Saccharomyces cerevisiae S288C: one gene and its partner. The protein of the gene in region 2 binds, or shares a complex with, the protein of the main gene of each other region. Each region holds a gene or a part of one and is shown on either strand. Other genes may lie near its edges. The genes, in order: ORC2 and ORC3.

Region 1 (4,677 bases), on a different chromosome or scaffold from region 2:
TCAGACATGCGACATCGCCAATCTTTAAGGGAACACTTGCTGTATTATCAAATTCATTAAGATACTCTAGGAATTTCACCACGTAAATTTGAGCAAAGCCACCTTCTGCTAAATAATTTACCACTTCAACTTTATGTGTGCCTACGCAGACAATATGGCCTGGAGTGTACCTCTCTACCGCCGGATGGCCCATTGCCGAAACGCTTCTAGAAGTACCATTCGTGATCGACATGATCAGTGCTAATTAGAAAGAAAATAACAGGCGACAGGGACGAAAACAAGAGCTTGGGAAAACGTAATAGCAAAAAATGAATGGCAACTAAAATTATCTCTATGATGTCCTGTGTTGCTTATGCTCCCGAGGCACCGATTCTGATTCAACAATGCTATTGAATTTACTCATTCAAGAAAGGGGGTTCATAGGATTATGGCTTTTATTCAGTATTTTTAAGTTTTTTCGGTTATTGAGCTCTGAATAGGGCATTTTCAGAATGGCGGGGTTCACCTAAAAAAAATGAAAAACAAATATAGGTCATAACTCGTCTGAATTTTCGAAGAGCTCATCAGACGTTTTTCAGTAGGGTTATATGAGAAGTTTTTTAGTCGTTTTAAGATACATCACTAAGTATTGTTGGTTATGGGAAAGCAAAGCTAGCAAGCCTAGTACTATTACAATTGTTCGTGATATGTATACATTTATAGAGTATTTAAAACGGTTTTCAGAAGTTTTTCAAGTTCCGCATACGTGTAGGGTACCCAAATAATTTCCATTCCAGAATTGTTCTTAGTTATGTTGGCCATTTTATGTTCTATGAATTCTCTAAGCATCGACCTTAGAGCTATCTCATTAGAAGCAATAAAATCAGCGGCACAGAGATGGTTGAAAAGTTTAAGTTCTACTCCAGTTCTTTGAGTACCACGCTTAGGACCTGTGTTAGCGGATAGATTCCCCATATTCTGCATTTGTGTTTCAATAAGCAACTTATACATCTTCTTGGAGTTCACAGTAAGTGATTGTAAGACGTATTTCGCACCTTCAGCACCACTGCTGGTATCGCTTTTACCCATCTTCATCACATCTTGGAACGTAGACTCGACTGTCGACGGTTCAAAATTCGAAATATCATGAAAGACAAAGTTGTAGTTTTGGGCCTTCATGTTGTCCCAGAGGAGCGGAGCGTAAATGTGGTCTGTAGAGGCGACTATGGCGATTTGTCTGATGACGGAGAGGAAGCTTAGCATCGTCTGAAAAGTGTTTTTCCTTATGCTAGGACCATCCAGATTATGCACTACAAGTATTAATTTGATATCTAAAGGTTGATTTTTGTAGAAATCAATCATCTTTTGGATCTGCAAAATCACATGATTGCCCCAGTACTTAGTTTCGCTTCTTGTCAACTCAGCGGGGACCAAAAGATCGGTAATCTCTTTGAAGACGTCACGATAGTTACAGCTAGGGTTGTAACCATTTAAAATAAGGCATGGGATGGAATTTACAGGTTTGTTTTGTTGTAATTCATTCTCATAAGCCAGTTGCGAGTACGCGATTTTCGGAGACAAGTAGTCAATGGCAAACTCTTCCAAAAAATTACGTTTCGAACCTACACCATAAAATAATAAGGAGAATCCTTGAGTCAATTCAAACCAATACTGGGGAAACATTTTTTTCTGAATTTCAAATAACTTTTGCCTGGGACGTTTTTGAAAATTTTCGTTGAAAAAGTTTGATACTAGGGAAAACTCTTCTCTGGTAACGTCAGGTGCCATTGACATGGTGTGCCTTGACTTCGCATTAGTTCTGACAATTTTTCTTTGGTCGAAATATCCTTCAAAAGTATCCAAAAACGAGCTTGCTGACTTGGTTTCCGAAGTTTGGTAGAGCTTTTTATTTTTCGGTACAGGGGTTGGAGTAAAATTTCTACTCAAGGTTAATTTACCTGGGGAGGTTGAGTCTTTATATTCTTTTAAATTATTCATTATAATTTGCTTTAGGGGCGAAGTAAAATCATGATTAGTGGTTAAAGACTTCTTAGATGGTGTTGCAGGTTCTGGTGGCTCGGGTGAATTTGATACAAAATTATCATCAGTTTGTGGAGTCACATTATCTTCATATGTTGTGGTCGCTACCTGTATTTTTTCGCGTTCTCTTTTCTCTTTTATCCCCGTCTTTTCCATCACCTGCTTGTTGTTAGAAGTCTTGCTTTCCTCATTGACATTACCTGATGTATCTTTGTCCAATTTCCTCTTTTTCTTAGAGGAAATTGTATCTTTCTCATCCTTCTTGATCCTATCAGTTAATTCTTCCTGTATCTTTCTTGGTCTTCCACGTTTACGGGGAGCTTTACTTGGCGTTTTAGGTTTGAGTGCCGGATCTGGAGATGTATTTTTCCTTTCGTTGCCTACAAGCGAGATTCTTTCCAACAAATTCTTCTTTGATGAATGAATTCTTCTCAGTTGTCTTTCTCCATGTGGGTCAACCCTTTTTGGGGTTACATTCCTGCTTTTTGCCGGAGACGATAGGATATCATTATGCTCTACAAAGTCTTCCCCATTTAGCATGTTATGGCAATTCGCAGTACTACAAAAACTTGTTTTAAAGATATAGCAAATAAGATCAATGATCAATTATCAAATACAATTTCAGCTAATATATTCTACTTTGTCTTAATTTAAAGGTGGTTCCTATTTCTTTATAACTTTTACACATTGTGAAGAATAACAATTCTGCTTACTATTGTCATTTCCACCTCAATGATGCGGTGAGTGGGTGTTCTGAAAAATTTTCCCGATTTTGCTAGACTAGAAATTGGTACTAGCTGATCCATATCACATTTACGCGAATAAGTCGATATTTATGCATGGATATTTGGCCTTTTACGACACTTATTCTTATGATCCATTGAAAGATGGTTCATATTACATATAAAGGTGCCACAGCAAGTTAATGTCACGGCAGCTAGTGACGCTATTGCTAGTTTACACCTAGATGAGGCCACTGGAGAAATGGTCTCTAAGACAGAGTTGAAGAAGCGTATTAAGGGAATACAAATTGAGGCCAAAAAGCTGTCAAAAAGACTCTTGCGAAACCAAAACCAGCTTCGAAAAGACTAATTTCCTGGCCGGTTTATAGTCATCTCAATACTAGATCACAGCAAATCCAATTAAGAAACAGACTCTTGATATAAATTTTTATCCATACAAGTTCCGATTATATATATTCAATCCTGAATTTTTGGCCAAGTATGCCCATTCAAAAAGGCGAAAATTTCCCTTAAGAGAAGTTTCACATTGCTAGGAGAGTTCATGCAGAAAGAGAATCAGCTTAAAAATTGAAATTCTACGTTCTCAATGGTGGTGTTGAGCTCTAAATTATTTTACAATTTCAGGATTATTACGACGAGAACCCATAAAAAGGAGCATGACCTTTAAGGAGGAGTAATATATATCCACCAAAGAAGACCGGCGGAGATGAGATATATTTTTTTCGTTAACAGAGTGCAATTGACAACTTGTTTGCACTTGCCTGCTAACTGTTTTGGTTTCAAAGATCAAGAAAATAGATAGAACCCGTTTTATTATTCAATTGACATCGCCCGTTATATCAGACGATTTTTGGATCAAAAAAAGTTTATTGGAGCAGAAGCAATTCTGAAATGAAGGTCCTAATATGACCCCAATATGACACATAATTCGGAATCTGCCACTTGTGAGTTTTATCAAGCCTATGCGGATGTTTGTGACTAGTTGGATATGACTGAATTAATACTTTCAGAAATGGACAAGGAGATATGTGATTCTCTATTATCAAATACCATTTGAACCTTACTGGTCCAGCTAAAAAAGAGCTAGAATTCATCTGTTCTAGCCCATGGAAGAGAACCGATATGATTGGCAGATAGAAACCATACTGATTCGCGTCGTATCTAGCACAACCCACGTAAGAACCTTAATTGACGAACAGTCAAACCTTCTTGGCTTTTACAACCGAGAGGAAATACTAAGTCAACATCAAGGTGGCAAACACAATTCACAGTATCTAATTTTTCGTTATATCACATTGGAAAAAGTATTAACGTATAATTTCCATCTGCTGAGCACTTGCTGCCGTTGAGACCGGCGAATTTTTGAAAGAAGTGTATGCCAATAATAAATTGGAAAGCCCATTAAATAATGCTCTTATGTTGGATAAGCTTTCTTCGGTGGAATAAAAGGCACATGTATCAACCTGACTTTCACTTTTACTTAACCCCAAGCTATGTCTCCATTGGCCAGGTACTCAAAAGAACAACCGGGTTTATGTGAGCGTTTCGAGGTTTTTGTATCTAAAAAGGAGATATGTAATGCGTAAACCCGAACTGAACAATTCGTTTGACCAAAAGGGGCTTTCCTACAAACAAGCAGGGCAATAGGAGCAAGGCAAATGGATCAAGGTGATGCTTATGCATAATTTATACGATGGAATCCTTTGTAATGCTCCGTACTACGGTTTACCACCAACCGGCTTTTGGGTTGTAATATTGACAGATTCACCATGTTCTCAATGGTTCTGTCACAATTCGAAAGTTCTATTACTCGCAAATTCGAAAGCAGATGTTTTAAGAGACGAGGTGAAGTAAAAAAGAAGAAAAATGATTGCCATACTCCTCAATGCTTGCATGTAATATAATATAATATAAT
Region 2 (4,203 bases):
ATTATTTTATCAAGGATTCTGTATTTCCTTTCTAATATTGTTTCTGTATTTACATACAGTTTAGGGTAATATAACGGAAAGATGCTTGACTTTTTCCAGCGCAGACGAATTTTTGTGCAATAGTATGAAATTCTAAATTGAGTTAAAAATACCAATTTTTTGTACTGAAATAATAGATGGTTTTTCAACTTTGAAAAGAAAAATCTTTTGTGATTTGCTATCAAATGCCTGTGTATTGAAACTCTTCTAAAATATTTCTCTAAAATAATCTCAAAGATAATTTGTTCTTTTGATTTTTGTAATTTATTTAACTTTATTTCTAATTTGTGGACTTTCTTCAAATTTTTTGGAATGAAATGCGTCACGCCAAAGCAATCACTGTGTAGCGGCTGAAAAAAAGTTTCTAAAGAAATACTTTGGGTAACCAATTTACTTGAGAATCCTTCCAAATATAGAATGTTTTGGTATTTACTTTTCGTCAAAACGGAATATCCTAGTCGATTAACGAACCTCAGTTCCGAAGAAAGAATGAAGTGAAACCAGAGTACAACAAAGATACTCAAAAACAAGTGACAGATTAAAGTATTCGATGAATTAGGTGATAGATTTGACATGGTCCACTTGTCAAGTTTACTTGTCGTCCTGAAACTTTGCTCATAACGTTCACCTTCATTTTCTTTCAAAATATCCCTGGAAAAATAATGGATTGGAATTAGTATTGGAATGTTGATAATTGATAACACTGCAAAAAAGAATATCAAAAGTTTGAGAAACCGTAAAAATAGATAATTGTCTAGGCCATACCTTTCGTTTCGTTCGAATTTTTCCATAGGATCTAACATTCTTCCGGGAAGTTGCTTGAGAAATGCAAATAATGACCAATAATTTTTTATTTTTTTCTTAGCAAAACAAACTTTAGAACCTGGATGGATTTTCAGAACGACATTGGCCTGATATATAGTCTTGAATCTTGATCTTAAAATAATAAAGAGTGACAGCTGAAATAAAAAGTACAAAAAAGAAAACAATATACCAGATATGAACCCTTTTAGTGAGATTCCAGCATGTCTTTGCGCAGATCCAAATCTTTCTTTGTCTTGAAATTTATTCAGTAAATTAAAAGTCAGTTCTTTAGTAGCATTCATCTTCTTGGTAAGTCTTTTTCTTGTTTTTGAAAAAGAGTTCCTGAAGTTTGTCTACTGTGAATATACTTTGCACATTTGTTTAATTTTTAAACACGCTATAATTTGTGTCATAAAGAATTTTTTGTAGAATAGCTTTTTTTTTAATAGGAAAAAAAAATAAAAAAAGGTGGAAAAGACAATCTTTTCCAGAAACTTGAAACTATACTGGAGATGAAGGGTTGTCGTTGGTTGCGTTACGAGACAGGCTTGACAATTTCACAAGAGTAATGTTTCATTACCTGCTGTTTTATTATCTTTATATTTAGTAAGACCAGCAGAAACGCTACACGTGATGATAATGGAACTAAGCATTCTGTTAGATGGTAAGAATTTTTTTTACCTTCCATTACCACTAACGCCTTTTTTAGTGTCTTTTTGATATTTACTGACGTATTTTTCCGCACCGTAATTTGAAGAAAAAGAAAAGTGACAAAAGATGGCATTGTTTACATACAGAGTCGTAGTATCACAAGAGTAGTCCAACAGGATGAGCGACCTTAACCAATCCAAAAAGATGAACGTCAGCGAGTTTGCTGACGCCCAAAGGAGCCACTATACAGTATACCCCAGTTTGCCTCAAAGTAACAAAAATGATAAACACATTCCCTTTGTCAAACTTCTATCAGGCAAAGAATCGGAAGTGAACGTGGAAAAAAGATGGGAATTGTATCATCAGTTACATTCCCACTTTCATGATCAAGTAGATCATATTATCGATAATATTGAAGCAGACTTGAAAGCAGAGATTTCAGACCTTTTATATAGTGAAACTACTCAGAAAAGGCGATGCTTTAACACTATTTTCCTATTAGGTTCAGATAGTACGACAAAAATTGAACTTAAAGACGAATCTTCTCGCTACAACGTTTTGATTGAATTGACTCCGAAAGAATCTCCGAATGTAAGAATGATGCTTCGTAGGTCTATGTACAAACTTTACAGCGCAGCTGATGCAGAAGAACATCCAACTATCAAGTATGAAGACATTAACGATGAAGATGGCGATTTTACCGAGCAAAACAATGATGTATCATACGATCTGTCACTTGTGGAAAACTTCAAAAGGCTTTTTGGAAAAGACTTAGCAATGGTATTTAATTTTAAAGATGTAGATTCTATTAACTTCAACACATTGGATAACTTCATAATTCTATTGAAAAGTGCCTTCAAGTATGACCATGTTAAAATAAGTTTAATCTTTAATATTAATACAAACTTGTCAAATATTGAGAAAAATTTGAGACAATCAACCATACGACTTCTGAAGAGAAATTATCATAAACTAGACGTGTCGAGTAATAAAGGATTTAAGTACGGAAACCAAATCTTTCAAAGCTTTTTGGATACGGTTGATGGCAAACTAAATCTTTCAGATCGTTTTGTGGAATTCATTCTCAGCAAGATGGCAAATAATACTAATCACAACTTACAATTATTGACGAAGATGCTGGATTATTCGTTGATGTCGTACTTTTTCCAGAATGCCTTTTCAGTATTCATTGACCCTGTAAATGTTGATTTTTTGAACGACGACTACTTAAAAATACTGAGCAGATGTCCTACATTCATGTTCTTTGTCGAAGGTCTTATAAAGCAGCATGCTCCTGCTGACGAAATTCTTTCATTATTGACAAACAAAAACAGAGGCCTAGAAGAGTTTTTTGTTGAGTTTTTGGTAAGAGAGAACCCGATTAACGGGCATGCTAAGTTTGTTGCTCGATTCCTCGAAGAAGAATTGAATATAACCAATTTTAATCTGATAGAATTATATCATAATTTGCTTATTGGCAAACTAGACTCCTATCTAGATCGTTGGTCAGCATGTAAAGAGTATAAGGATCGGCTTCATTTTGAACCCATTGATACAATTTTTCAAGAGCTATTTACTTTGGACAACAGAAGTGGATTACTTACCCAGTCGATTTTCCCTTCTTACAAGTCAAATATCGAAGATAACTTACTAAGTTGGGAGCAGGTGCTGCCTTCGCTTGATAAAGAAAATTATGATACTCTTTCTGGAGATTTGGATAAAATAATGGCTCCGGTACTGGGTCAGCTATTCAAGCTTTATCGTGAGGCGAATATGACTATCAACATTTACGATTTCTACATTGCGTTCAGAGAAACATTACCAAAAGAGGAAATATTAAATTTCATAAGAAAAGATCCCTCCAACACCAAACTCTTAGAACTAGCAGAAACACCGGACGCATTTGACAAAGTAGCACTAATTTTATTCATGCAAGCAATCTTCGCCTTTGAAAACATGGGTCTCATTAAGTTTCAAAGCACCAAGAGTTACGATCTGGTAGAAAAATGTGTCTGGAGAGGAATTTAGATAAAGAATGCACGGATAAATAAGTAAATAAATAACCATACATATATAGAACCATAGAACCACGTTTTTGTAATGAACAGTCTACCTGTATCTCATCATTTTTCTGTGTTAACTATTATTATTATTATTATCGAATGGAGGGTAATATTATGTATAGGTAAAATAAATAGATAGTGCCATGATGCGCGAAGATTGGCAATGGGAAACTCAAGAAGGCAGCAACAAAAAAATAAAGGTGGCCTATTAATCACAATCTATTGCCTATATGTGCTAGGTTATGGGCAAATTCGGCACGACAAATAAATCAACGGAGAATCTTCTGCGTGATAAATTCGTACCCGAGACATCTCCAACTAATATTCCCACTGATGTACTCATCAAGCAAGGGCAAATAACGGATTCCACCGAATCACTAATTCATGGAGGCGCAGAAAGGTATATTGTTAACGCTTTAAAGCCTATAGAATTAAATAAAACTGAAGGCTTTTTCGAAGACCCGCCGTTCCATCTTCCTTCTCCACCGGTTGATTCGACAAATCTGGAGTATGAAGACGTTACCGATCTTCCTAAGAATGGTTTACGATATGATTTGAATGATATATCCGTTGAGGTAATCGAAGATTTATACCGCCAGATTGAAGCTTTTTTGGTTCATTTCAAACTATCCAGAAGTTTTTTACA

The links.
Region 1: ORC3 (region 2) and ORC2 share a complex: the UniProt entries of both Saccharomyces cerevisiae proteins name them as parts of the origin recognition complex.

Annotation. Positions count from the first base shown.
Region 1 is NC_001134.8:359,956-364,632, forward strand, and holds ORC2 (origin recognition complex subunit 2), read right to left. Parts: upstream 2,560-4,677; coding exon 697-2,559; downstream 1-696. Other genes in the region: serine/threonine protein kinase AKL1, read right to left, coding at 1-232. UniProt on the Saccharomyces cerevisiae protein: Component of the origin recognition complex (ORC) that binds origins of replication. It has a role in both chromosomal replication and mating type transcriptional silencing. Binds to the ARS consensus sequence (ACS) of origins of replication.
Region 2 is NC_001144.5:139,402-143,604, forward strand, and holds ORC3 (origin recognition complex subunit 3), read left to right. Parts: upstream 1-1,671; coding exon 1,672-3,522; downstream 3,523-4,203. Other genes in the region: SPO75 (Spo75p), read right to left, coding at 1-1,145; SFI1 (Sfi1p), read left to right, coding at 3,800-4,203. UniProt on the Saccharomyces cerevisiae protein: Component of the origin recognition complex (ORC) that binds origins of replication. It has a role in both chromosomal replication and mating type transcriptional silencing. Binds to the ARS consensus sequence (ACS) of origins of replication.